Callithrix jacchus: one gene and its partners. The protein of the gene in region 6 binds, or shares a complex with, the protein of the main gene of each other region. Links are inferred from orthologs where the notes say so. Each region holds a gene or a part of one and is shown on either strand. Other genes may lie near its edges.

The links.
Region 1: the proteins of PLK1 (region 6) and MIS18BP1 are in contact, whole or in part, in a crystal structure (PDB 8S31), measured with the Homo sapiens proteins. The link is inferred for Callithrix jacchus from reciprocal best matches to the Homo sapiens genes PLK1 and MIS18BP1. Residues at the interface, in NP_005021.2 of Homo sapiens: Lys413, Trp414, Val415, Asp416, Tyr417, Asp419, Tyr485, Ser487, Glu488, His489, Leu490, Leu491, Arg516, Phe534, His538, Lys540; in NP_060823.3 of Homo sapiens: Asn73, Ile74, Phe75, Gln76, Ser77, Thr78, Met79, Leu80.
Region 2: PLK1 (region 6) and SPAG5 share a complex: the UniProt entries of both Homo sapiens proteins name them as parts of the astrin (SPAG5)-kinastrin (SKAP) complex. The link is inferred for Callithrix jacchus from reciprocal best matches to the Homo sapiens genes PLK1 and SPAG5.
Region 3: the proteins of PLK1 (region 6) and MIS18A are in contact, whole or in part, in a crystal structure (PDB 8S30), measured with the Homo sapiens proteins. The link is inferred for Callithrix jacchus from reciprocal best matches to the Homo sapiens genes PLK1 and MIS18A. Residues at the interface, in NP_005021.2 of Homo sapiens: Lys413, Trp414, Val415, Asp416, Asp419, Leu490, Leu491, Arg516, Asn533, Phe534, Phe535, His538, Lys540; in NP_061817.1 of Homo sapiens: Ser50, Met51, Trp52, Ser53, Ser54, Met55.
Region 4: the proteins of PLK1 (region 6) and CDC25C are in contact, whole or in part, in a crystal structure (PDB 3BZI), measured with the Homo sapiens proteins. The link is inferred for Callithrix jacchus from reciprocal best matches to the Homo sapiens genes PLK1 and CDC25C. Residues at the interface, in NP_005021.2 of Homo sapiens: Lys413, Trp414, Val415, Asp416, Tyr417, Tyr485, Glu488, His489, Leu490, Leu491, Arg516, Phe534, His538, Lys540; in NP_001274511.1 of Homo sapiens: Leu126, Leu127, Cys128, Ser129, Thr130, Pro131, Asn132.
Region 5: the proteins of PLK1 (region 6) and TCERG1 are in contact, whole or in part, in a crystal structure (PDB 3Q1I), measured with the Homo sapiens proteins. The link is inferred for Callithrix jacchus from reciprocal best matches to the Homo sapiens genes PLK1 and TCERG1. Residues at the interface, in NP_005021.2 of Homo sapiens: Lys413, Trp414, Val415, Asp416, Tyr485, His489, Leu490, Leu491, Arg516, Phe534, Phe535, His538, Lys540; in NP_006697.2 of Homo sapiens: Pro101, Pro102, Pro103, Met104, Ser105, Ser106, Met107.

Annotation. Positions count from the first base shown.
Region 1 is NC_133509.1:79,851,024-79,855,705, forward strand, and holds the start of MIS18BP1 (mis18-binding protein 1), read right to left. Parts: upstream 3,192-4,682; 5' UTR 3,006-3,191; intron 2,405-3,005; 5' UTR 2,393-2,404; coding exon 2,340-2,392; intron 1-2,339. UniProt on the Homo sapiens protein: Required for recruitment of CENPA to centromeres and normal chromosome segregation during mitosis.
Region 2 is NC_133506.1:105,011,399-105,016,053, reverse strand, and holds the start of SPAG5 (sperm-associated antigen 5), read right to left. Parts: upstream 2,938-4,655; 5' UTR 2,877-2,937; coding exon 2,826-2,876; intron 366-2,825; exon of another isoform or gene 339-365; intron 1-338. UniProt on the Homo sapiens protein: Essential component of the mitotic spindle required for normal chromosome segregation and progression into anaphase. Required for chromosome alignment, normal timing of sister chromatid segregation, and maintenance of spindle pole architecture.
Region 3 is NC_133522.1:38,414,543-38,418,722, forward strand, and holds part of MIS18A (protein Mis18-alpha), read right to left. Parts: intron 1,607-4,180; coding exon 1,484-1,606; intron 868-1,483; coding exon 771-867; intron 178-770; coding exon 97-177; 3' UTR 1-96. UniProt on the Homo sapiens protein: Required for recruitment of CENPA to centromeres and normal chromosome segregation during mitosis.
Region 4 is NC_133503.1:36,753,525-36,758,158, forward strand, and holds the start of CDC25C (M-phase inducer phosphatase 3), read right to left. Parts: upstream 2,982-4,634; 5' UTR 2,855-2,981; intron 2,378-2,854; exon of another isoform or gene 2,336-2,377; intron 2,093-2,335; exon of another isoform or gene 2,091-2,092; 5' UTR 2,027-2,090; intron 1,923-2,026; exon of another isoform or gene 1,887-1,922; intron 1,733-1,886; exon of another isoform or gene 1,607-1,732; intron 1-1,606. UniProt on the Homo sapiens protein: Functions as a dosage-dependent inducer in mitotic control. Tyrosine protein phosphatase required for progression of the cell cycle. When phosphorylated, highly effective in activating G2 cells into prophase.
Region 5 is NC_133503.1:44,965,735-44,970,447, reverse strand, and holds the start of TCERG1 (transcription elongation regulator 1), read right to left. Parts: upstream 3,321-4,713; 5' UTR 3,296-3,320; coding exon 3,237-3,295; intron 1-3,236. UniProt on the Homo sapiens protein: Transcription factor that binds RNA polymerase II and inhibits the elongation of transcripts from target promoters. Regulates transcription elongation in a TATA box-dependent manner.
Region 6 is NC_133513.1:24,285,527-24,290,262, reverse strand, and holds the start of PLK1 (serine/threonine-protein kinase PLK1), read right to left. Parts: upstream 3,273-4,736; 5' UTR 3,219-3,272; coding exon 2,826-3,218; intron 2,093-2,825; coding exon 1,924-2,092; intron 1,186-1,923; coding exon 1,041-1,185; intron 10-1,040; coding exon 1-9. UniProt on the Homo sapiens protein: Serine/threonine-protein kinase that performs several important functions throughout M phase of the cell cycle, including the regulation of centrosome maturation and spindle assembly, the removal of cohesins from chromosome arms, the inactivation of anaphase-promoting complex/cyclosome (APC/C) inhibitors, and the regulation of mitotic exit and cytokinesis.

The DNA of each region.
Region 1 (4,682 bases), on a different chromosome or scaffold from region 6:
CAACAAAGTGAGGCTCCATCTCAAAAAATAAAATAAATAAATAAATAAAATAAACTGGAAAACTGCAAAGCAAAATGGCAAAGAATGTTCAGGTTTACACAGTCTCAATTCCTCAGAGCCTAATGAAATGCTAAGCAGAAAGTAAAAACTGCAAATAAGCTAAGAGCACTGAAAACAGATCCAATCTGTAATGGACATGTAGAAGTGTATCCATTTAAAGGCAGATAATAGTGGTCACATAGAAAGGCTCAAAGAACCAGCACAAAGATTTCTGTTGCCTAACATCTTTGCCCCCAATTCACGCAAGTAGTAGGATAAAGATTGGGTAGCCAAGATTCTGAAAAGCCTTCAAATTCCACTTCCCCTCCCAAAGATGCAGAAAGTTGCTCTAAGATACCTTTTTCCCACCATGTGATAAATAGCAACTCAATGTAAGTCAAAAAAAAAAAAAAAAAAGCAGCCAATATTTGCCAGGGGTTTGTTAAAGACAGAATAAAGAGAAAAAAAATAGTCTACAATTTCCACTGACCACAGAGGCTTTGCAGAGTAAATAAATTAAAAAAAAAAAAACACTGGGTCTAGATAAACCAAGACAGATCTGAAGCTCCATTTCCTTCCTAGTTAAAAGAACAAAATAAATCAGCCTCTGATGAAACACAGACATTAGTGGAGACTAAATAACTGGTATCCCTCAAGTGAAGGAAAGAATAGTTTGTCCTGAAGCCAACCAAGCACATTTGTTGACCTGACAGACGGAGGTCACTCATTGTCAGTTCCCTCTAAGACTGGATAAAGTATGTTTCTCTTTTCATCAACTGCTTAAAGTTGTTTGGAAAATCTAATCCTTAAAACTTATTCTAAAAGCTGACAAATGCTGATGTACTAGGAAAAAAAAAATGTTTTCAACATGAAGACAAAGGAATGGGAAAACCATGTAGGAAAGGGCTGGCCATAGCATTTATAGTACAGTCATGTACTGCATAATGATGTCAGATCACACATATGGAGGTCCCATAGGATACCTTATTTTTACTGAACCTTTTCTATATTTTGATATGTTTAGATACACAAATACTTATCACCATGTTACAACTGCCAACAATATTCAGTAAAGTAACATGCTGTGTTACAGGTTTGGCGCCTAGGAGCAATAGAATATAACATATAGCCTGGGTTTTTATAAGTACACTCTATGATACAGGCACAGTGACAAAAATCACCTGAATGTATTTCTCAGAACATATCCCAGGCAGTTATAAGTGACACATATAAACACAGAACTGAAGCTAAACAATTGTTATGTATATGATCCTGAATATAACTACTCCTCCTCCTCCTCCCAAAAGATGGAACGTTCTTGTAAGAATTTACTGTATTGGTAACAATAGTAATAGCTATTACTATGAAGGGGTCAAAAACCCCAGAGCACACTAACCAAAACTGGGAGACAGAATTCGGCATAAAAATAGAATTTTAGGGGTCCAAAGTGGCTCCCGCCGGAGGTCGTGGTGCTTGCGAAGGCGAATTCATCAGTTCAAAGCTAACCTGAGCAACCTTATAAGCTCAAACTGATTGGCAAAAAAAAAAAAAAAAAATAGAATTTTAAGTTAAGAGGTAAATGATACACTTGAAATAAGTACTCAGCACCTATGACAAAGGATTAATTTACATAACATTCAGAGACCTACTGAATCAATTAAAAAAAAAATGTTCAAAACAGAAAATGGTCACAGGACATGAAAGACAATTAATAGAAGAAATAGAAAAGGTCAATAAACAAGTAACACCTGATTTTACTAATAAACGGAGATGCAAACTGTAACAGTGAGACTTCTTTTACATATCATATTGGTAAAGATTAATTTCAAAATGCAAGTCTGTATGCCACTGACACGGAAATTCCACTTCTAACTTGTTTTTTTCTTACAGAAACACCTACATAAGAATGCAAATATATATGCATCATAATAGCCGATATTCACTGAATATTGACATGCCAGTCACTATATAATCTAACAGCAACTCTAAAGAGTTAAGTACTGTGGTTATTCCCAGTTTGAAAAGAGAGAAATTAAGGTATAGGTGGTTAAATAACCCGACCAAGGTTTACTTAACAGTAAGTGAGAAAGATGATCTAATTCTACCTCCAAAGTCTAAGTTCTTTACCAACAGGCAACATAGCGTACACAACCACTACACAGGGAAGTTCATGCTGCAGTACCTGCACCATAAAATGAAATTAAACAACCCAGATGTCCACCAATAAAGGACAAAATAAATTCCGCCACATCCATACAATTTACTCCATGTATTCAACAAAAAGATATATATGTACTTACATGGAAAAAATCCAAGAAATATTAAATTGAAAAAATGTAGCAGAACAGAACATATAATTGCATTTCTGTAAAAATAAATAAATAAATGAAACACATATAAGCATAGAGAAAAACTCTGGAAGCAAGTGAACCAAATTGTGAACAGTATTATCTCTGAAGGACAGGGTGAGGTGACCTATCATTTTTTTGAACTCCTGACTTTAAATGATCCACCTGCCTCGGCCTCCCAAAGTGCTGGGATTACAGGTGTGAGCCACCGCGCCGGACCATTTTCTAAGTAATTTTATTAATATCTAAAGCTGTGTTTTAGAAGAAAACATAAACTGAATGGATGAACTTCTTCTGTAGCCCTGGGTCCCCAAGGGGAAGAGTTGGGTACTAGGGCACACAATTTTCCTACTTGGTATTCTTTTTTTTTTTAAGTGACTTTAGAACAAAGACCTAGAACGCTCACCATAGAAATAAATGTGAGCAATCGTGTTCTACTCTGCAGTAGACACGCAACAAATAAACATCGAGTGCGCAGCTGTAAAATCAGTACCAAAGCTAGAAATCTACGAAAATTAATAATAAAACGGCGTGGGCCGAGGTGCTGAAAGGACAGGCCGCCCACCACCGGCGGGGACTCGCGACGGGAGGCGAGCGAAGGACGCGAGGAGGACGTACCTTGGGTGAAGGGCCTGGTAGGGCGAGACTGTGGTAGTGCAGGCTTGGCTCCGCGCGGAGGGAGGGCCGGACGCCGCGGGGCTCTCGTCTCAGGCCCACGGTGGCCCCTGCCCGCGACGGCCGGGCCCCAAGCGACGCTTACCTACTCCGCGAGGTTCTCTAACACCCACAACACTTCCGCAATTCAAATTTGAAAAGCCCGCCCTCCAGTCAGCCTGGGATTGGTAGGGTCGGAATTGCGCCACCGTGCGTCTTACTGGGACGCAGGCAAATTTCTGGCTGCCTCCGCACTCGTGGACCGTAGTGTTTCCACAAAAAGTAGGCGACCATAAGCTGTCACAGACAGGGGCGAGCTAATTCGTTTCGTCTTCGCAGCGCACGCGCCCAACTTGAATGCCCTCATTCCTCAGGTGATGCTCTGTCGCTGCAAGGCTGACGTCGGAGACGCCGCAAGCCGCGCGCGCGCTGCTGCGGTGAAGTTTGGCCCTTTCTAGCTGCCGTCCTCCCCTACGGGCTGTGCGCAGTAAAGGCTGCTATCCCTCCCTTCTATCGCCGGAAATCTGCGTGCTCCGTGGGTTTGAGAGAACTTATGTTTTTCTCAGTCCTCCATGTTTGAGGCGGATAAAGAACATTTTGTTTTTGAGGGAATGATGGATTGAATGTAAAGTTACGCACAAAGTGGGATGTTTAGTTTGAACGGTTTCCACAAGAAGTGTGATTTGTGGGGGTGGGGGTGGGGTGTGGGGGACAGGGTCTCTCTGTGTCGCCCAGGCCTGAGTGCATTAGTGCAATAATGGTTCTACTGCAGCCTGAAACTCCAAGGGATCTTCCCACCTCAGCCTCCCAGTATCTTTAACTACAGGCGCGCGCGACGAGGTTTCGCTGATTTTAATTTTTTTTTTGTAGAGAGCAGGTCTCACCATGTTGCCCAGGCTAGTCTCGAACTCGTGGGTTCAAGCGATCTTCCCATCTCGGCCTCCCAGAGTGCTGGGATTACACAGGCAAGCAACTGCACCGTGCCAGGAAGTGATTAAAAAGATTTTTTTTAATCACCTCTCATTCTAGAAACATTAATCTTGACAACTCTAGGTTGCAGTATGCAGTTTCTAACAGTGGCTTCCAGGCTGCGTCCCTCGTTAGACTGCGCCCAATGAATCTGCACTCTTAACCACCGCAGGTGTATCTTTTGCCTTGTATAGAACTCGTTGGTTCAGTCTTGAAAGTAGAGAAGTGGAAGCCAGGGTAATAAGGCGTGTTTTCAGCCCCAAATTCTGTCCGCTTCCAATCCTGCATGAAATGTGCCCTCTTCCACCGCTCATCCGCATTTGTGACAAGTGAGTTTCTTTTTATTTTATCGTTCATCTAAGAAAATTGGTCAGCTTCCTGGTCATATATCACATTTTCCTGTTAAGACTTAGAGTCCTATACTGAAAAGATTGTAATGGATTAATTTTTTTAAAGTGACTTGCAATCCCTCCTAAGTCGTCCTATATCTACACCGAATAATCAGAATCCAAAATATAAGTATAAAACATCCACATGACTGCAAGTAATGAAAAACAACAGTTGGAGGTAGGGGAAAGGAAGCAAATTTACTTGAATAAAATGAAGTTTCTTGCTTGTACATCATAATGAGAAAATGGTTGGACATGGATTTCCACTAGGTTTGTGGGAAAA
Region 2 (4,655 bases), on a different chromosome or scaffold from region 6:
AGTGGACGCCAGACTTGACGAATTTTTGTTGCCTACGGACCAGGAGATTCCCAGCAGAGGAGCCCCATGGGTCACCAGCGCAACTCTTTTGGCCGGCGCGGCTGTTTTGCCGGTGTCCCATTGCAGAGGTTCTCAGTGTGGAGTATGCGGGACTGGGTGCCCTTTTAGTTGGCATTTGGAGCTCCAAGAAGGCAGAGTCACCCATTCAGCTGATTGAGAGGGGGACTGAAGCCGGGAGCCAGACCGGGAGATTCCCAGGCAGAAAAGCGCCACGAATCTCAGCGCCGCTGTTTCAGCCGGCATGGTCGCAGCACAGGAAATTGCATAGATCCCGGCACCTTTTTGGCAGGCGACTGGGGCACCTGGGAGAGAATCGACCGTTCAATTAGGAAAAGAAAAAAAAGGGGGCTCCGAGGCAGGGGAGCCAGGTGATCGGGCTTGGCTGGTCCCACCCCCCACAAAAAAACAGCAATTGGAAAAGCTGACGCTTGAGAGTTTCACAGCAAGCACAGCTGAACCCGGGAAGGTCCAGCTCTGTGGGGGAGGGGGGTCCACCAAAGGAAAACAAAGAAACAGAAATAACATCACCACCAACAAGCTGGATGTCCGCTCAGAGACCCAATCTGAAAGTCAGCAATTACAAAGACCACAGGTGGCTAAATCCACAAAGATGGGAAGAAACCAGCACAAAAAGGCTGAAAACATCCGAAATCAGAATGCCTCTCCTCCTTCAGGGGACCGCAGCTCCTCATCAGCAAGGGAACAAGGCATGATGGAGAATGAACGTGATGAATTGTCAGAATCAGGCTCCAGAAGGTAGATAATAAGAAACTTCTGTGAGCTAAAAGAACATGTTCTAACCCAATGCAAAGAAACTAAGAACCTTGAAAAAAGGTTTGACGAAATGCTAATGAGAATAGACAATTTAGAGAGGAATATAAGTGAATCAATGGAGCTGAAAAACAACAGGAGAACTTTGCGAAGTATGCACAAGTTTCAACAGTCGAACTGATCAAGCAGAAGAAAGGATATCAGAGGTTGAAGACCAACTCAATGAAATAAAATGAGAAGACAAGATTAGAGAAAAAAGGACAAAAAGGAATGAGCAAAGTCTCCAAGAAATATGGGACTATGTGAAAAGACCTAATCTACGTTTGATAGGTGTACCTGAATGTGACAAAGAGAATGAATCCAAGCTGGAAAATATTCTTCAGGATATTATTCAGGAAAACGTTCCCAACCTAGCAAGGCAGAACAATATTCAACTCCAGGTAATAGAGAGATATTCCATAAAGATATTCCTCAAGAAGAGCAACCCCAAGGCACATAATTGTCAGATTCACCAGGTTTGAAATGAAGGAGAAAATGCTAAGGGCAGCCAGAGAGAAAGGTCAGGTTACCCACAAAGGGAAGCCTATCAGACTCACAGCAGATCTCTCAGCAGAAACCCTACAAGCCAGAAGAGAGTGGGGGCCAATATTTAACATCCTTAAAGAAAAGAACTTTCAACCCAGAATTTCATATCCAGCCAAACTAAGCTTCATAAGCAAAGGAAAAATAATATCTTTTGTGAACAAGCAAGTACTCAGAGATTTCATCACCATCAGGCCTGCATTACAAGAGCCTTTCCAAAAATATACCAAAAGATAAAGAGCATCAACATAATGAAGAATCTACATCAACTAATGGGCAAAACAGCCAGCTAGCATCAAATGGCAGTATTAAACTCACATATATTATTATTAATCCTAAATTTAAATTGACTAAATCCCCCAATCAAAAGACACGGACAGGCAAATTGGATAAAAAGCCAAAACCCATCGGTATGCTGCATCCAGACCCATCTCATATGCAAGAATACACAAAGACTCAAAGGGATGGAGGAAGATTTACCAACCAAATGGAGAGCAAAAATAAATAAATAAATAAATAAATAAAAAGCAGGAGTTGCAACTCCCACCTCTGAAAAAATAGACTTTAAAGCAACAAAGATCCAAAGAGGCAAAGAAGGACATTACATAATGGTAAAAGGATGAATGCAACAAGAAGAGCTAACGACCCTAAATATATATGCACCCAATACAGAAGCACCCAGATACATAAGACAAGTTCTTAATAACTTATAAAGAGACTTAGACTCCCACACAATAATGGTGGGAGACTTTAACATCACATTGTCAATATTAGACAGATAAACGAGACAGAAAATTAACATGGATGGATATCCAGGACTTGAACTCAGACCCGGAACAAGTAAACTTAATAAACGTTTATAGAACTCTCCACCCCAAATACACAAAACATACATTCTTATCAGTACCACATCACACCTACTCTAAAAGTGACTACATAATTGGAAGTAAATCACTCCTCAGCAATTGCATAGCATTTCACGGGTTTAAATGAAATATTGGTTGGCTGCTTGTTTGTTATTTTCCTCCCTTATTCCTTCCTGTCTCCATTGTTAAGCACAATTATTGGCATAAAAGAGGTTTGCAATACCCATTTTTAGACTGCATTCTGGCCTGGGCAATAGAGAAAGACTCCCATTCTCTCTCCCTCTTCCTTCCTCTTTCTTTCTCTCTTTCATTCTTTTTTCTCTTTCTTTCTCTCTCTCTCTTTTCTTTTTTTTTCCAAAAAAAAAAAAAAAGGGAGAGAGAGAGAGAGTAGGCTCGCACCCTAGTCGCGCAGGAGCGGCACGGCGAGCAAGGACTCCACAAACCCCTAACCCCAGGCTCCACCCAACTTTCCAGGACAGTCAACACGGCCGATGCCCCCGACCCAACAGCCCGGCCAGCTCTCTCCGCCAGAGCTCTCTCGATTACCGTCTGGGGCGAAGGCGACAGGCTGAGGCTCAGTTTTTTCGCCCGCCACATCTTCAACACAGAAGACAGGTTGATCACGTCTCCGACCAAGTCGAGGACGCCGCGTTCACCCGCCGTCTGTGTTTAAACCTTCTCCGAGCTTCCCAATTGGCTGCTCCAGGCCGGCGCTTCCGCTCGGGGCCGAAGCCCGCGGGTAGGTGGGCGTGGCAGTGTTGGTCACGCCCCCTATCCCGCCTGCCCCTGCGTAGTCTCGCGCTCTCCGCTGACCAAGTCCTCACCGCAGGCATCGGCGATAGGGCTGGAGGCGAGGCTGGCTCAGGACAGGGCTTGTGTCCTCACATCGGAGAAGACCCCACAGATTGCTAGAGAGTCAAGGAGTCCATCCCTCCTGCTTCCAGTGGACCCCCTCACATCCATGGTGTTCACATCCAAGTTGTCTCTGTGGATGAAGCCTTTCCTCAGGTCTCCCTCAGTCCCCTCCCGCCGCAGCCTTGACGGGAAAGAGCCGGCCAGGGAGTCTAGTAGCCGAAGCGGGTCCGAGCGACTTCCCTAGGCTTGGTGGGACCGCGTCCGGAACGGCCTGGGCTATAATGGTCTAGAAAAGCCTCCAGAGTTTCTGGGCTTTTCCTTGGACTTGCTCAGGCCCGCTATCAGTTCACTGGGATAACAGCCTACATGTATTGAACTTTGAGTGTGTGGCTGGCGCAGTGCCAAATGCCGTGTAGTAGCTCACTTAATCCGCATAAAGACCTTCGTAGTGAGAAGTACTAAAAATATCCCCATTTGAGACAGCAGGGAGCTGAGTCAGAGAGAGCGTGTGTAATTTGCCCAGCGTCCCACAGATAGTAAATGGCAGAGCCGAGCTCCTTCCCTGCCCCGCCAGCGCCTGCCTTCCGCCTCTCGGATCTCCTGTGTTCAGGAAACCTGTTGAAGGTAGGACTGCTAAATGGTAAGTATTCAGAGTGAGCCGTTTGCGATGGTGTGTGTTCCTTTGCACACTCACGGCGCCCTATTTACACTCTACAAGTCTTAATACATTGGGGGAAAGCAGCAATCGAAAGAGGAAAGAACTATGATGTTAGAAACTGAAACGTCCCTGGGGACGGGCTCCTCTAGTACTGTGTTATCCAATACCTAAGCCCTAACCATAGTGGCTTTTGAGGACTTCAAATGTGACTAGTCCCAGTGGGAATGTGCTATAAAGGTAAAACACTTTACACACTGGATTTCAAACACGTCATATGAAAAAAGGAATGCAAAATATAGCAGGGTGCGGTGGCTCATGCCTGAAATCCCAGCACCGGGAAGACAGAGGCAGGAGGATGCTTTGAGCCCAGGAGTTCGACACCTCCCTAGGCAATATAGTGAGACCTTATCTACAAAAACAAACAAAAAAGTTAAGGCCAGGCGCGGTGGCTCACGCCTATAATCCCACACTTTGGGAGGCCGGCAGATCACCTGAGGTCAGGAGTTAGAGACCAGCCTGGCCAACATGATGAAACCCCCTAACAAAAATTAGCTCGGTGTGGTGGGCGCCTGTAATCCCAGCTACTAGGGAGGCTGAGGCAAGGAGAATCTCTTGAACCCAGGAGGCAGAGGTTGCAGTGAGCCGTGATCGTGCGACTACATTCCAGCCTGGGTCACAGAGCTAGACTCTGTCTCAAAAAAAAAAAAAAAAAAAATTTTTTTTTTAAGCCTGCAGTGGTGGCAAACGCCTACCATAATCCCAGCTTGGGAGGATCGCTTCAGCCTAGTTCAAGGCTGCTGAGCTATGTTCATCCCACTGCACTCTAGCCTGGGCAACAAAGCAAGACCGTGTCATCAAAAAAA
Region 3 (4,180 bases), on a different chromosome or scaffold from region 6:
TTCTTTTTTTGGTAGTGACAACATCTCACTACGTTGCTTCGTTTAACAAAAAAAGGGAAGAAGGGCGGGGGCAGAATGGAGGACACAGACTAGAGTTCAGCTTTTACAAGTGGCAAAGGACAATTTTGATTCAACCTCCCACAGCTTCATTTGTAATGCTTGCAAGACATCTTCCATCTATTGAATTGAAAAAATAAACAAACACATATCAATATCATTAAAAATATACATGGTTAAATATAATTAAAATATACACTTAATGCAATTTTGAATATGTCATGCATTGCATGGTAGATATTCAGTGTTTAACAAAACTACTCAGAGGCATAAACTAAATTTTTTAAAATAAAACATAATTCTATCAACAGCAGTTCTCAACCTATAAGCTATGTCTCTTCCATATGGTCATCACCATCTCACCCATCTGGCAATGAGAAGAGAAAATGCTAACATCCAACAATAAGGCTATATATACCACAAAAATCAATTCAAACAAAATACTGATTTGAATCAAAAATGTATTTCTGGCTTAGCAGTGTTGGAACATACAGTTTTGATTTTGACATGAAATGACTTCCTTATTATTTTGTTGATAAAGCTTTAACTTCATTTGAGTTCCCCAAAGATCAACTTTACTAAGAACTGAAATGAAATAAGCATACTCTTACAGTGAGCAAAACAGATGACATTATGAGAATTATCATTTGTGGGAGAGCACTTCACTGAGAAATTGTTCATACAAATATGTAAAATGTACAGAATAAAATTACCTGTTTTAAAGACTTTTCTATTTCAACTCTGCTTTCAAGATTAAAAAGTTCTTTATCTTCTGACACAATTTGCTTTTCAGAGGACCCTAAAACATAACTGAAGTACAGTACAAGGTTAAAATATAAGCTGGGTGTGGTGGCATGCACTTATTCCCAGCTATTCAGGAGGTGAGACAGAAGGATCATCTGAGGTTAGGAATCTGAAACTAGCTTGGGCAACACAGCAAGACCCCAAGCAATATGCCTGTAGTCCTAGCCATTTAGGAGGCCGAGGCAGGAGGATCACTGGAATCCAGGAGTTTGAGGGTGCAGAAAGCTATGATTACAGCACTGCACTCCAGCCTGGGTGACAGAGCAAGACCCCATATCTTAAAAAAATATGTTTTTAAATAAATAAAAATAAAAAGCTGGGGTCAAGGGGAATATCCTACTAAACTACACTCAATTTTTTTAAAAAACTGAATATACTTTTACTCCAAAAAAATTTCTCAGTGTTTTCTCCTACAATTTAGAGTGTCTGACTTTTCCAATACCAAATAAAGAAGCAGGTCAAAGCAAAAAAAAAAAAATACTGGCTTGTTAGAAATCATTACTTGAAAATATATTTAACCAAACAGTATTGACTTAGTTCTGAAGTTTCCGTACCAATTTCTCTGCAAACTTAACTTTCTGAAACACCAGTTGTGAGGTAAGCATTTATATAGCACACTTACCTTTCGATGGCTTCAACACTGAGGCAAAACAAGTCTCTCTTGTAATCAAGATTCTTGGGTGTGCATCTGTACACGTAGCCAAGGTTGAGTGAGCACCCCGTGCAGTACAAAGTCTCAAGGATGCTGCAATAAAGGAATGTCTTGCTTTAGGAAACAAAATAGCAACTCATTATAATAAAAATCTCATCTTTAAAATCCATAAACACTTCAGTCTCTCAAGTATGCTATTCTGACCATATCAGATCATACATATAGGAAGGGAAAAATGATAGTAAGATATTTACAATAAAAATATAAAGACAGTCATCTCTAGACCATGATGTCTTAAGTATCAAATGACAAGGGACATACAAAAAAGTGACAAGAAAAGATACTGAGGTGGTGTTTTTCTGGAATATAAATTCCTCTATCTGGTACAAGAAAAATAATCTAAAATTTGGAAATACACAAAAAGATTCTACATGTCCTTTTAATGTCATGTTGTCCAAAAAGCCCACCAAGGGGCATTAACACATTAGGCAAGGGACAGGAATTTTTGGGTAACTAAATGTAACAAAGCAGAGAATAAATATTTTAGGTGTGCCAGCCATATGGTATCTGTCACTACTCACCTCTGCCACTGTAAAACCGAAGCACCTATAGACAATACATAACTGAATAATCTGCATTCCAATAAACTCGTATTCACAAATGGGTGCCCAGTCCATGGGTCACAGTTTACCAAACTCTGCTCTAGTGGAAAGTAATACTGTTTGGCTTAATAAAAACAGACTCTCTGAAGTTAGATGACAGCCCATGTAATTGTTCCTTCATTCTCATTATCTCTCAACTCAGGTTCCACACACTTGAATATACCCTCCCATAAATCCTATTCATGTCTCCTTAAAATCTGGCTTAGAATCCAGCGTCTCTCAAATGCCTTGTTGAACTGACCCATCCAAATTTACCATTGTATAAATACACTAAAATTACCATTCCAACACATAGCAAAGTGATAACTGGAGATTTAAATACTATTGCAAAAGTATTATAACTCCTACTCAGTACGTGAAACACTTGTAATCACTAAATATCCATTCCTATCAGGCAAAACGGAGTGATTATAAACTACATCATTGTTTACTTACAGATACTAAGATACAGGCACTGTTATTTATTACAGCAACATATGGAACAAAGAACAAAATGGAGCACCACCTGATTACATCATGAATGCTCACTGATTATGTGATTAGCTAGTAATACGCCACTGATTACATATTAAGTGTCCATGGGCTTTTATAAGTTTCTATACTTTTTTTAGTTTTACAGTATAAATAGTCTCACTATGTTGCCCAAGCTGGTCTCGAACTCCTAGCCCCAAGCAATCCTTCACCTTGGCCTCCCAAAGGGCTGAGATTATAGGCATGAGCCACCATACCCAGACAGCTTGTATAAGTTTTTACATAAGAAATATAAAAGCATGCTGACAAATCCCACCTATATTACTCACAGTTAACCAGCAAACCTCCATGCTAAATATCAAACCTCATTACCATTATGAGACTGCCTCGCACCATTACCAAGATTACAAACTAATATCTAACGTAAGTGTCATCAGCCAAGAAAGGACACTTAGAGAAACCAAAGGCTTGAATTCCCCAAATAGACTGAGCCATGGATAAGACTGTTCTATCCTGAGCTATCAAAATCAACCTAAACACCACCAAAAATAGGAATGAACCCGATCATACTTCTACAACCATCTTTTAGAGCAATGAAGAGACGATAGCTACTATTAAGCCAGCATCTTTCTGCTTTCAGTTGGCAAGAATTTGGCCAGAATTCACCCTTTTCCTTGAACAATAACATTGAGAAAGCAGTGGCAACAATCTTAAGGTAATTTTAGACAAGGAATAATTTGATCGTAAGATTCTCAACAAAGGACAGAGTCATACTAAACAGAGGAAACAGCACTGCTACGTTCACGACATACTTCTAAAGCCAACAGTGCTCTTGCTGACCATCAGCAGAATAGCTCAGGCAGGTATTCCGCAGGATGGGCTTATGGAAAAATTCACAAGCATCCCAAAGCAATATGGGAGTGTGGAGCACACAACCCTAGTGAAGTCCAACACAACTGAAGGCAGCATAATCGATGGGTTTAGGTGACACAAACAAACCGTATTAATGGCTCTGAGTCAAAGAGAGTGAATTCTCTATCAATCCTGATTATAAAAAAGAAGAAAGGCTGGGCGCGGTGGCTCACGCCTGTAATCCCAGCACTTTGGGAGGCCAAGGCGGGTGGATCATGAGGTCAAGAGATCGAGACCATCCTGGTCAACATGGTGAAACCCCATCTCTACTAAAAATACAAAAAATTAGCTGGGCATGGTGGCGCGTGCCTGTAATCCCAGCTACTCAGGAGGCTGAGGCAAGAGAATTGCCTGAACCCAGGAGGCGGCAGTTGCAGTGAGCCAAGATCACGCCATTGCACTCCAGCCTGGGTAACAAGAGCGAAACTCCATCTCAATAAAAAAAAAAAAAAAAAAAGAAGGAAAAAGTCTTGGTTTGGTGCTAGACTGTCTTTGACACTTGTCTCACAGTTGCAAATCTTTTAATAGTAAGAGAACAAACTTCAGGCAGAGAACCAGCCAGGCAATAATATCTCAGCTAGAAGTAATCACATTTGTTTTCACTGTAATTATCTTCAATTGC
Region 4 (4,634 bases), on a different chromosome or scaffold from region 6:
GGAAGAGCTTAGCAGTGAAAAGCAAGGGCTTTTTGAATCTCTTTTAGACTGCTTTTTGATACTACCTCTACCTACCACGTGGGCAGTCACTTAATCTCCTGGGCTGTTTCCTTTGTCAAAGAGAAAGTTTTGTTTCATTGGATGACTGTAAAAAAAAATGAGAATATACATCAAAGTATGTAGGCCAGGTATGGTGGTTCACACCTGGAATCCCAGCACTTTTTTTTTTTTTTGTTCTTTTGTTTTGTTTGTGGCCCAGGCTGAAGTACAGTGGCATGATCTCAGCTCACTGCAACCTCTGCCTCCTGGGTTCAAGCGATTCTCCTGCCTCAGCCTCCGGAGTAGCTGGGATTACATGTGGGCACCACCACGCCCAGCTAATTTTTGTATTTTTTAGTAGAGATGGGGTTTCACCATGTTGGCCAGGCTGATCTGGAACACCTGACCTCAAATGATCTGTCTGCCTTGCTTCCCAAAGTGCTGGGATTACAGGTGTGAGTCATCATGCCTGGCCATTTGAGCACTTTGTGAGGCCAAGCTGGGAAGATCATTTGAGGCCAGAAGTTTCAGACTACCCTGGGCAACATAGCAAGGACCCTCTCTCTACAAAAATAGAAATAAATATGCTGGGCATGGTGGCACACCCCTGTAGTTCTAACTACTCAGGAGGCTGAGATGGGAAGGACTGCTTGAGCCCAGAAGTTCAAGCTGCAGTTAGCTATGATGGTCTCACTGCATTCCAGCCTGAGCAACAGAGCAAAACCCTGTTTCTGCAAAAAAAAAAAAAGCATGGTGTCTGGCACATAAGTGCAATTATTAGAAACTATGTGTCCCACACTTCATGGTGCCTGCCTCTGCTCCTTTTGCCAAGGGGAAATAGGCAGTGCAAGGTAAATCTCTCTACCCCTATTTTCTCAGTTATTATTGTACCTCACTTTTCCTCTACTCTTTTTCAGTTTGCAGACTTTGTGGCTCCTGCTTCCTCATCTACCTGGCTCTGTGAGGAAGATCCCCACCATTGGCTCTACTTTCCAGCTGATCACAGCTATTTACCTGTCCCAGTCATGAGTAAGGCACAAAATATTTACAGAGAACAGATGTCTTTCAGAGGACTTTCTGCTAAGTGTAATAGTGAAGATTACTTGCATTACTGCTACTTTCCAATCAATTGAAAAAAAATCGAAAACTTTGCATTACAAAGAGATCACAACACGAAGGCATTGTTTAAAGCCTCTTCTTCATCCACTTTTTTGCTTGTCTCCCTGAACCATCTGTGAGGCTGAGACTCAAATTTACATAAGAGCCAGAAACCATCAACCCAACCTCTTCACACACTAACGTCTACATTCAGTCTCTAAAAAAGACTTAAACTTTGGCTCATGTGGGAAGTGGTGGTAGTGGTGGAGACTTAATAAAAGGTGGTTTTGTCTTCCTGAAGTGGAAATGTAGGGCCGTCACATCTTTTCACCATCTGCCTGTTTCCTCCCTCCCTTTCTGTTTAACGAAAGTGTAACCACCGTACTTCTCCCCACCTCCCCGCACCTCCCCCCACCCAACGCAAGCAACTGAACCGCCTATGATGTCATAATCACAATCCCATTACCTCATCCTGCTGGGGGGGGGGCGGAGAGGGAGGATAGGGAGTGAACAGCCTTGGGCTATCCTGAGCTTTACAAAGTGTTCTGGGTGAGGGCAAATTACAAAACCGAGTGGAAACGGCCCCGCAACCATTGTAAGTCCTGGGTTTTTAAGATTCATGCCGATCCGGCAGCTGCAAGAGGGGCTCCTGGGACTCAGAGCAGGCCCTGATCGGCGCTTGGACCACACTTCCCAGCAGCCTTCACGCGGCGGACAGGTCCTTTGCAGGGGGAAGGGGGAATTCCTTCGAAGAGGTGGCCGTGGAGGGCGGAGCAGCAGAGCAGGTGATGGGGCACTGTGGCTAATTGCGTGACGCGGCCAGAACCGCGTGGGAGGCTGTAGTTGGGCCGACGGAGGGAGGGAGGCCAGGGGCGATGCCTTTGTTTACCTTCTTCCGACGGGGCCTCCCCCGCGGGTTTCAAGATGTGCCTCCGACTGGGACCGTCCACTTTCTGAGAGATTTTGAAGGGGTGACTCGTTAGTGAGGAAACCACCCCCATCCCTAAATCAAAGCGTCAGGCTACTTCCCGACAGCGCTATCTGAGAAAGACGTTGACAGAGACACCACACGGGGCTGCGGCCTCCGCGGGTGGCTCGAGGGGATTCTGCTAGCCGGAGCTGTCCCCCTACTCTCCTCAGGGACTCGTTGGTTCGCGCCAGCGCCTTTTAAGGGCACCGTGGGGCGAACGGAGCGCTCAGAGCTGCTCCGGCCGTGGCCCTGGGAGCTGGAGGAGCTGCGGTAGGTGGCAGAGGGCAGGTGGCGCTGGGGCCTCGGGGCGGGCACCTCAACTGTCCCTCCCTCCTTCCCTCTTTCCCCTCCCCCAGTCCTGCCGCCTGTGCGGCCGGGCCTCGCAGGCCGCCTCCGCGGGGAGAGCACGGGACCCGGTGGGGGAGGGGGTGGCGGAGTGCTAAGTCCCAGACCCTCCCCATCCCTTGCGTCGGGAGTTCGCTTCCCGCGGCCAGATGATGGAACCTAGTGGGAAGAGGCAAACGCCAGCCCCCCTGAGCAAGCCCTGGCGACCCCCCCCCGCCGCGGACCAGCGGACGCCCCATGCCCCACCCCGCGGGGACAGGCAGGGCAACAGAGGGATAGCTTGAAGATTGAAGGGGCCTAGCCTTTTGCTTCTTCATGGGGGTGGGGGAGGGGTGTTTCCCACTTGTCACCACTATTCCCACCAGAACCATATGGAAGAAGAGGCGGAAGGTCTCCACTTACCTGTTCGTGCACCTCCCTGCCTTCCTCATGTTTTCCTTCAGTCTCCCCAAGAGGTGTAGGGCTGGGACCTGGGGGAAGGTCCCCAAGGGATTTGTGACTCTCCTCCCTCTTGGCCTGACTTGATTCTACCTTGTCTAGGTTCAGCACAACCTCCGCATCCCTGAAACAGGAGTGTCAGGGGTTACTGCCATCCAGTAGCAGATGGGGTGGGGGTCCGATCTTTATTTTAGGGGGCTGATGGTGGAGGAAAAGCCTGGACTGAGGGTTAGGCCTGGTGGGGTTGCTGAGAGGGCCTAGCGGCCTGCTGCTCTGTGAAGGGCTAAGCCCTTGTGCCAGTTGTTAAACTGAGAAGTTTTAACTTGTTTAGTGAACGTTCAGGGCTGTCTCTACCCTTCAGATACACAAAATGGAAGGGGAAGGAAGGCAGCAAGATCGGGCTTCTTACACTTTTTTCAATGCCTGCTTGAGAAAGAGGAGGCCCCTCGCGGAGCTGGTTTGCCTTCTTTTGTGTCCTGGTTTGATTCCTTATGGCTTCCGTTCTGTTCCCCCTCTCAGCCTGGCCTGTTTTAGGAAACTCAGGCTGAGAGTATCAGTTGCGTGGTGGTAGTTGCATTGTTCCAATTACCGCTGTGTGTGGCCACATCCCAACAATTAAAATGCAGAAAAACACAAATTCACTCTATTCACCTATCCTAGAGATGATTGGGAGTTTGCTGTTGTCCAAATATCTTTCGAAAAGCTAGAGAGTTTGTTTCACTACCCTGTTCCTCCTAGCTGGTGAGCCTGAGGCCTGGGGTCTCTAGGGTAAAATCCTGCACTTAGGTTTCCTCTCTGGTTGATCTTTGAAGGCAGAGTTAAGAAACCAAGAGCAAAAGTGATATAAGCTTTAGCTTCTCCCATGAGAACATAGGGGAAGCAGCTGAAGGGAGCTCCCCGGAAGCTAGAATTTTGTTCAGGGTGGTAATAATTATGCATGAAAATGGTAGTTAACTCTAATGATGATTGACTTCTCTTGCACCTTTCTTCCAAAGAACTCCAAGTACATCCAGATTCATTTCTTTGCTCTTCCTTGTGGCCTCCTTCTGAGGTGTGAATGGGTTAGAGATGATTTCCTCTTTATTGTACAGTGGTCTGCCCCCAAGGTCACAGAAGGAAGAGCCTTCTTGGGCTTTTTTTTAGTGTGCAGGTGAGGGAGGATGGTATTCAGCCAGAGATAGACCCTGTTGCCTTCTTCATCTTACTGATATCATTACTTCTGACATTCTGAGGTCTTGAAGATTCACAAACAGAAATGAGAAATGGTAGTCTATGTGGACTCCTGATTTTTACAGGCCAGGTGGTACCTTTTGTACATTTTAGTATGTTATGTTGTTCCTGTGACAGGTTTAGATTATTCTACCTACTTTACATATGGGTAAACTGAGGCCAAGGAGTATTAAATGATTTGCCAAAACTCTCAGAAAATTAGATTTAATAATTAGATTTCTTGATCATTTGTTCTTTTGACTAGCTAATGCTGCATACAGTCTCTGGTAATCTGTCAGCCTGCTGGTCATTTCTGGGAATAGACAGAACAAAATCAAGACTGGCTTAACCTCCCCTTTTCCCTTGAGCAAGGCGCCTTGGGTAATTATGTGGGCTTGAAGCCTGTTCTCTGATGGAGTTAGTTTGCTTCTGTCAGAAATTGACCATGAGAAAGAATCTTGCTTAACTGTATCCATGGTCTTTGCATCAGATCAGGCAAAAAACTTAGTCGAATAAAGTCATGTAGTTGTTTGTA
Region 5 (4,713 bases), on a different chromosome or scaffold from region 6:
ACCAGAACCTGTAGTGAAGATTAAATGAGCCAATAAAGTACCTGGAATAGTGCTTAGCACTTAAGTGTTATCTAAGTTACTAGCTATTATTACTGTTTCTGTAACATTAGTACAGTAATAGTACTGGTAAGTGTTAAATAGTATTTTAGTAATAATGTTAGCTATTATTACTATATTATTATTACCAGGTCCTGTATTACCTGGCCCATGTTAACCCTTCCACAAACTCTAGTCTTTTCCTTTAAATACAAATACAAAGTTTATTACTCTGAAGCCTCTGCTCCTGTTCTCAATGCCTGGCATGTTCTTCCTCAGATTTTCACATAACTAGCTCCTTCTCACTATTCAGCGTTAAGTTCAAATGTCACTTCAAACTGCTTTCCCACTTCTAGCCTCTCCAGGCCCTCTCAGGCTCATTATCCCCAATTTGAGTTTTCAATTATGATAAATGCTATGAAGAAATCTCTCATTTACTTCTGTATTATCTTTAGCCACTAGTACATGGTTCCCTTTAGTATACTGTTGCAACACATTAAAACACATTATTGTTTTAATAGTGACAGTAAAGTTCCTATATACCAGCAGCACGGTTATAGAGACATTAACTATATTAACTCTTAATCCTCATTACAGCTCAATAATTAAGTTTGGCACCATTTTTACAGAGGAAATGGTACCACCAAAAAATAATTCTCTTAAGGCAGCTAGTCAGTGATAACACCAGAATATTCTTATTCTCATTTTAGAGATAAGGAAATTTAGATTGCAAAAGCATCTTAAGTACTAATAGATAAACAAAGGCCCTAGGTAAAGGATCTATACAAAAGACTCTGGGAGTCACCTTAATGGCATTTGGAATGTCTATAAATTTTCCATCTATCGTGATTTGCATTCCTACTACTTACAACCTTTCTGAAAAACAAAAGCCTAATTGCATGAATACAAAGAACAAAAATATTTAACAAGATCATCAAAATGCAAACCACGCATTTTTCTATAATAGAAGTACTCTTTCCAGATATGCAATCTCTTTAATGGTAAAGACAATACTATAGTTGGAGGGGCAAGAAATTTTTAAAATGCTACTGATATATGGGGGGGCAAATCATATGAACTGTGAGTGAGGAGACATGGGATTTAGTCTAGACCCTGCCAACTACCCAGTGACCTTGTATAAGTCACTTCACACTTACAGGCATATTTAATCATTTGATGGGGTTGATTTCGTTTACAGTTGAGATGGCTCTTACTTAAGCTGGAAGCACCTTCAGGATAAACATCTTTTTCTGGTCTGGTTCTGGGCACTACTGCCAGCACCTAGGTCAGTAACTGTCACACAGAGCAGCACACAATAAACGTCAGCCCAATAAGAGAAGTATCTCTAAATCTCCTGTCTTCGTTTATTTGCAACATAACTACTGAACATCTCATTTGCCAGGCAGTTATGACAGACATACCATGAAGTACATTCAGGATACAAAGACAAAGATTAAGCCCCAACTTCTGCCATCAAAGAGGCCACAAAAACACCTAATTTCATGAGAAATGCTAAAATAAAGATTTGTACAGTATGCTCTGCAAGCAACTTCCAATCCAAGAGGCTATGGTATAAAATATTTGCTACAGGGCAAATTCATTTGCAAACTGAAGCCCTATTCAAATCAGTTTTGCCACAGTGTCTAGACTATTAATAAAGTATAAACAGCTTTATTAATAAAGCCTTTTTTAAAAGTAAAGCTTTAGAAAGATACTTTTTAAAACGCGAAATAATGTTCCCTAATAAATTCATCTGAAATTAGCTAAGTAAACTCCCTTTAAGACGGAAATCAGGAATAAACTTGGCATCACTAATATTGAAAGATCCTGACAATTCAGCTTGATCACTCATTAATCCGGTATACATATGGAGTTTAAAGGATTTCAGATTCGTCTCTGAAATAAGACATTTCATTCCTGCCAAAGTAGGGATCTGTATGTGCGACCATTCAGAATCCGAAAGGCATTTTCTTCCTCTAAAACCTTGAATAACAATACCCATTTCCTTACACAATTTCATCTTAAGCTCTAGACAGTATGAACAGAGTCTTCATAATCTACACTGCTTTTTTTCATTTTCAAATGTTGACAATAGCACAATTCAGAATGGGAGCTGAACATCTGAAATGCTATTTCTCCCATCCAAAAAAAAAAAAAAGTACCAAATACGCATAAAACGTAACTCCTCTTTTCCACAAAAACCAGTAACCAACAGATTTCTCCAGGTCACTCTTATTTTACCAAATTTTAATTACAAATTCATAGGCATTGAGGTTCCAGGGTAAAAAAGTCACTGCACTGCTCAGGGAAATGGCATGAGTAGTAGACGAATAGAATGCCGATCGAGATTGCAGGCTCTGAAACCTGACTGCCTGAGTTCCAGCCACTTCCTGGAGCCACAAATCCACCTATGCAATCTTAATTCTACTGACTCAACCTCCACGAGGCTCAGTTATCTCACCCGTAAGATGGGTGAGTAACAAATGAAGACCCCTCTGGTCTGTGGCCTGCAAAATGGAAATAGCAACTACTCCAAAGGGTGGTTGTGAGGATTAAATGAGACAAACCTAAGTAAAGGGTTTACTGGCACACAGTAAGTGCCTAACAAGCGGTTGCTACTGTTGTTGTTACTCACAACTACAGAATAAGGAATAAAGGGATGAAAAAAGGAAGAAAAGCCAACTCAAGAAAGACAAGCGACGTAGGGGATGAAATGAAAGGGCAAACGTGGGGAGCCCAAAGAGCCGCGGAGGGCGTGGAGAAGGCTTAGCCAAAAGTGGCAAGGGGTCCCGGGAAAGTAACTGCGGAGTGCAGGGAAGTCGATAAGGAAAACCAGGCCCGCAGCGGAGCGCCGCCGGGGGACGGACTCAGGTCGGCCGAGACAGAGGCGACACGCGGCTGAGGCGGGGCCCAAAGGCGGGAGTACCGGGCCCGGCCGGCAGGCTGCAGGCCGCGAGGGGCAGCGGAGCCCCGAAAAAGCACTAGGGAGAAGCCCGAGAACGCCCAGGAGGCCGTGGCCCAGCCCCGGGCCCGGCTCTCATTCAAGCCACCTTCCCCTTCCCCCTTCTTAAACCCCATGCGGTCCCGGCCCAGGGCCGCCGCGGCTCTGCTGCCCACCGTCTGCCCTGGATCTCCACACAGCAGGCCTAGCCTCTGGGGCTCTCGTGACCCGAGATGTGAGGGTAGGCAGCGTCCCTTACCTGAGCTCCCCCGGGTTGAATCGCTCACCGTCGCCCCCGTCCCCACCACGCTCCGCCATTACAGAGAGCCGCGTTCATCCACCCGCCGACCCGGCGTCCCCTATTGGCTAGAAAAATCGTCAATCCCTAACGAGAGAGGCGGTGATAACAGGGATCTGGGACATAATTGGTCAATCTTCCCATCAATCTTCGAGATGAGGGCGATATCTTTTTTGCTACTGGGCAAGGGGCCCGCCGACTTTGAAAGCGGTATGAAGACAGCTAGTTGATTGGTGGCTCGGGGGCTTTATGGGAAATGAGATTTTAGCAGCGAGGAATCCGCCGGTGCCCTCTCGCGGTAAGCAGAACTAGGTCCTCCCACGTTCATCTCAGCCTGCGGTAGCCACGTGTCTGTCGGCTTCCAGGACAGCCAATTGTGGAGCCATATTGGCCAGTAGTAGCTCCGTCAGAGAGCATTTCCACTGGACAAGCCAATCAAAATCGACCTCGGCCGCCCCTAAACCAATCGCACAGTTGCTGTGGAAAGCCGCTATATCCTAGCTATACAGTAGCTATATCCTAGCTATATGGAAGTCTAGTCTATATCCATGTTATTAAATAATATTATTCATTACAAGAATATCTCCCAAATTATACTAAATAGTTGCAAGTGAATAGGTGTTCTGAGTTGCTGCATTAAGAAAGGTAAATTGGGCCGGGGTGGTGGCTCACGCCTGTAATCCCAGCACTTTGGGAGGCCGAGGTGGGTGGATCACAAGGTCAGAAGTTCAAGATCAGCCTGGCCAAGATAATGAAACTCCGTCTCTACTAAAACTTCAAAAATTAGCCGGGCGTGGTGGCGGGCACCTGTAATCCCAGCTACTTGGGAGGCTGAGGCAGGGAATTGCTTGAACTCAGGAGGCAGAGGTTGCTGTGAGCCGAGAGACATCGAGCCACTGCGCTCCAGCCTGGGAGACAGAGCGAGACTACGGAAAAAAAAAGAAAGAAAGATAAGTTGGAGAAGGCAAGCCTCTTAGCGATTTACAGCTTTCGCATCTCTCCCTCGACCTCAAAATGTACCGTCTGAAATTAGCACACCTGGAATACCAAACAATTCTGAGTATTTATTTCGTTTTTCTAATTAATAAATAAAAGTGTAGGCTTTGGGGTTTCAAAGGCACAATGAAGATAAGCCCTTCTCTTAACGTCCTCAAAATATTAAAATAATACTAATAGATAAATTTTACTTGGACCTAACCATGTAGCAAATGCTGATCTAAATACTTCCCATATGTGAGCTCTTTCACAATTCAAAAATCAGTAAGAGGTGGTAACATAGTCACTGTTTATAATGAGCTTGAGGCACAGAGAAGTTAATTAACTTGCCCAAGGTCACACAGCTACTAAATAGCAGAGGCTGGTCTAACTGCAGGCAGCGTGGTAGCAAAGCACCACTCTTAAATACTATGAGCCTAAATAATTGGATCCACATAAAATC
Region 6 (4,736 bases):
AAGGTATACCTGTAAGCACAAGGTAGGATTTGGCATAAGTCTCCCAGCCACAACCCAGACATAAGAGGAATCATCTCAAGGTCAGAACAAAGGCCAGGCATCCTCTGGACACTCACTCTAACTCTGGGGCCCCTGAAGACAATCCTCGAGTCCCCTGTGCAGCCCCAGGAGCCATGACATTGGCTAGAAAGAGCCCTCAGCAGAATACATGTGGTAAGACCATGATTCTTAAGGGCCAGTGATTTTCCAGCTATAGCCTGAGGGTATCTAGGACTCTGTGCAAGGGCCTCAGAGGCTGCCTGCCTTGCAAAACACGTCAAAGGGCTACCTGCACTTACAGAAGCAGCTCCACCTTTAGCAGTTCTGTACTTAAGGCTTCAAGTTTTCATTAAAAACAAACCCACCTCAAAGACACATGAAAGCCATCGCTATGACTTATTTCTAACTCTCTAGTACCTATGCCAAAAACAAAGATAATACCTGAAAAGGCCCAAGCCTCTGCCTGCCACCAATCGCAGCTGATGGTCTCAATCCAGAGGGACCACTGGCACCTCATCCTGCCATCTGTAACTCCTGGCCTAATTTCTCCCACCATGCTAATGCTCATCAGTGTTTCTAAGACCTTATTGTGCATGGAAATCACCAAGGGATTTGTTAAAAATCCAGATTCTGATCCAGTAAGTAGTCTGGGCCCTGAGATTCCGCATACAAGTTCCCAGATGATGGTGATGCTGCCCTGTGGACCACTCTAGCAAAGGACTAAAGTAAGGCTGTGAAGACTCTCCCTCCTCCCTCCCCCTCCTCCTCCTCCTCCTCCTCCTCCTCCTCTGTACCCATGGCCTAGGCTGCAGAAATCTGATAGGATACACCAGTGACAGGGAAAGATACAGCAATTAGGCTTCGTTTGGGGGTCACTTGTCCCCTAGAATAGGCTTTCTGTAAAGCAGGCAGAAAGGTCCATAGAAAAGGTCAGCCAAGTAGGATGTCCCAAAGTTGCCCCTGCTGAGACCAGGCAGATCCAAAGACAACTCCCAACTTACATGATACACCCAATGGACCACACATCCACCTCGAAACTGTGCCCTTTCTTGCTCAGCACCTCGGGAGCTATGTAATTAGGAGTCCCGCACAGGGTCTTCTTCCTCTCCCCGTCATACTCGACTTTGGTTGCCAGTCCAAAATCCCCTGGGACAGAGGGAGGAAGAATGGGTACTTAAATGCCAGCCTCTGCCATCTGTCAATGCAGAAAGCTAGTTAAGGTTTGACCATCAAGAAGCAGAGCCATTTGATCCCACAAGCCTCTGCTCCTTGTATGCCGCAAGGCTTGCCCAGAAATCTTCCTGCCATGCTGACCTCAGGGAGGTGCCTCCAGTGACCCTTCACAACCCTACCCCTTAGAAAGGGGCTATGCTTCAAAATGGGAACTGACAGGGACAGCAAAACTCCAGTGCCTTCAAGAATCAAGCAAGTAACCGCCAAGACTTGGCAAGCCTGTGAAGAATAGGGAGGAGTAGAGACCTTGGCAAACATGTCAGAAGGGACAGCTGCTTTCCAGCCCAGCAATGGGCTGCCCTAAGAAAATGCCGCCCTCGTATTACTGGAGCTTTCACCTGTTTAAAAGGAGCTCTGAATCAAAATTTTTATGTCAAGCTTTCCACTTTAAAAAATAGAAACAAACTCAAATTATTTGAAAAAAAGTCCTGTATTGGGGCTATAATGTGTCTTCAGGCAAGATACTGACTTGTGGGCGTTTGTTTTAAATTTCTGGACAAAGGAGAGAATTATAGAAGCAATCAACGCCCAAACTTCTCACCATCCATCCTCTTCCTTCCTCCTGGTCTCCTTCCTATCCTTTCTCCCAGCCTCCTCCAAATTCCAGCCTCTTGTAGGGATGTCAAGCACCCTGCAGGCTCAGCAACTCACCTATTTTCACCTCCAGATCTTCATTCAGGAAAAGGTTACCCAGCTTGAGGTCTCGGTGAATAACTCGGTTTTGGTGCAGGTACTGGCAGCCAAGCACAATCTGCCGCAGATAGTATCTGGCCTCAGGCTCAGTCAGGGCTTTCCTCCTCTTGTGCAGCTCCAGGAGAGACTGTGGGTGGGAAGGAGAGGGCAGGAGGGATGGGAGGGTGGTGCTGAGGCCGGTGGGGAAGGGAGAGGGTTACTACTAGGTAAAGGAAGAACAGGACCTAGACTCCTGGCGGATCAAAGTGGCGTCTTGGTGGGTTTCTCTCCTTTCCTAAGCCCCCACCCCATTCTCCAGGACAATTGCTATCTGGACCCTCCTTTAACACTACTCACAACCATTCGCTGCACCCCTTCCCCTAGCTTCCTCTCTTACTTGGGGGTCCTCTCTCAGCCCCATTCCGGAAGCTCCGAGTGCCCAGCAGCAGATCCCTTTCCTGATTCTTATTTCCCCGGGAAGGACCGAAGTCTGGATTGCAACTACCTCCTTACTGACCAGACCCCACTCCGGAAGCTCCCAGTGCGCGGCTTCACTAACCTTGGGACTCCTCCCTGGGCACTCTAGGGCCCTAGAGTCCATTACCAGCACCCCTCCCCCCAGCGTCCAGAAGCTGACTTCCCGGTCAGCAACCTGACTCAGACTCCACTTCACTGGAACCCACTCTTCTAGCAGTTCCAAGAGGCAAGAAGCCCTTACCAAAGACACTTTCCATACCTAAGCGGGAGGCTCCCAGCACCCTTCTCAACCAGCTCCAAGTCCCAGGCACTCCCTTCCTGGGCACTCTTTCCAGCAGCTGCTCCAGGTCCAGGCTCTCCAACTGCCCCGCAGGCAATTCCAGTTCCCTAGCAGCGACACTCACCCTCCGGCGGCATAGCTCCAACACCACGAACACGAAGTCGTTGTCCTCGAAAAAGCCGTGGAATCCTACGACGTGCTGGTGGGCCAAGCTGCGGTGAATGGATATTTCCATGGACATCTTCTCTTTCTGGTGCGGCTTGAGCAGCAGAGACTTAGGCACAATCTTGCCCGCGAACACCTCCTTGGTGTCCGCGTCCGATATCTCGAAGCACTTGGCAAAGCCGCCCTTGCCCAAAAAGCGGCCCCGTACATAGCGCCGCCGACTGCGTGGGTCCACTAGGATCTCTGGGATCTCTTTCGCTGGTGGGGCCGCCGCTGGAGCTCCGGGAACCCCGGCTTTCCCAGGGTCGGCCGGTGCTCGTGCCAGCTTTCCCGCAGTCACCGCCGCACTCATGCTCTCGGAGCTGCTCTGCCGACCTCGATCCGAGCAGAGGCTCCGCTCCTCCCCGAATTCAAACGCGGCGCTGGGAACGTTACAAAAGCCTGCGCGCTACTGATTGGTCGCGGGGATTTAAAATCCAAACCCGCTCGCCGCGCGGAACCATGGGAGCGCCCTGCCCCGCAGCCGCCTTTAAACCCCGACCCAGCCGGGGAAAACTTGATTGACAGGGACACCCGAACACGTGGGATAGCCTGGGAAACCAAACCCGGCGTGGCTACGGAGACCCGGCCCGAGAAGGGAGGAATTTCTTTAGGGTTTCTCCCTTTCTTGGGCGTCCGGGAAAGCTCCTGCAGTTCACTTGCGCCTCCTCCATTAAGCTTTTCCTTAGACTTTCCTCCACCTCCACCCCACCTAGTATGTAAGCTGAGTAGGGACCTGGCACGCCAATAAAGTAGTTTGGGAGAGCCTTAACACTCGCCTCCGATGCTGTCAGCTCTCAGCCAAGCCACCCCAAATGAATTAAAATTAAGTAAAAGTGTGCTTGCCAAACATACCTTCATGGCCAGTACTGTAGTCCTGCTCCTTCAAATAACTGCTGCTTTTGAGCTCCTCAAGATTATGGAGCAGCGCTGTTTAAAGGAGGGGCCAGGGAACAGCAGCATCCCCATCACCTGAGAGCTTGTTAGAACCACAAAGGCAAATGTTCAGGCCCTACCCTAGATCTCCCGAGTCAGAGTCCGCCTCTCAACAAGACTGCTCAGGTGATTCCTACACATCCTGAAGTTGGAGAAGCACAGTACCAGAGCCCCCCATGATGCAACGAAGCTGTCTGGCCTGCTCGCTGCTGAATTTCCCAGGGCCTAAAATGGAGGACACTGTTTCTTGGTCAAAGGGAGGTAAGGTTGGAAAAATGCCTAACAAACTCGTAGGTCATAGCCAATGTGTCTTGCGGGGTTTTGTTAGGCCTCCTTTTTTTTTTTTTTTTTTTTTTGGAGATGGAGTCTCCCTCTGTCGCCCAGGCTGGATGGAGTTCAGTGGCCCGATCGGCTCACTGTAACCTTGGCTTGCTGAAAGCAATCCTCCCACCTCAGCCTCCCAAGTAGCTGTGATTGCAGGAGCCCACCACCAGGCCCGGCTCATTTTTTTTTTTTAGTAGTGACAGTTTCACCATGTTGGCCAGGCTGGTTTCAAACTGCTGACTTCAAGTGACCTGCCCTCCTCGGCCTCCCAAAGTGCTGGGATTACAGGTGTGAGCCACCGCACCCAGCCCTTCTAAAACATTTACAGCATTTAAAAGAAGAGCTCATAAAAATTAGGATATGTGGCTTTTCCTGAAAAAATTACAAGTGCTAGCTACTCTGTGCCTACGTGCTTTCAGTTTGCCCCAGTTACCAGCTATACCCCTTTGTCCATTTGCCTGTCTGGCTTCTAGCTTCTGTAGGTACTTGAGTGGCAACTCTGGAACAGCAAAATACCCAAGTTAGAGGCTCTTTCTCTGTGTCTCTTTAGCACCCTCCAATCCATTAGAGC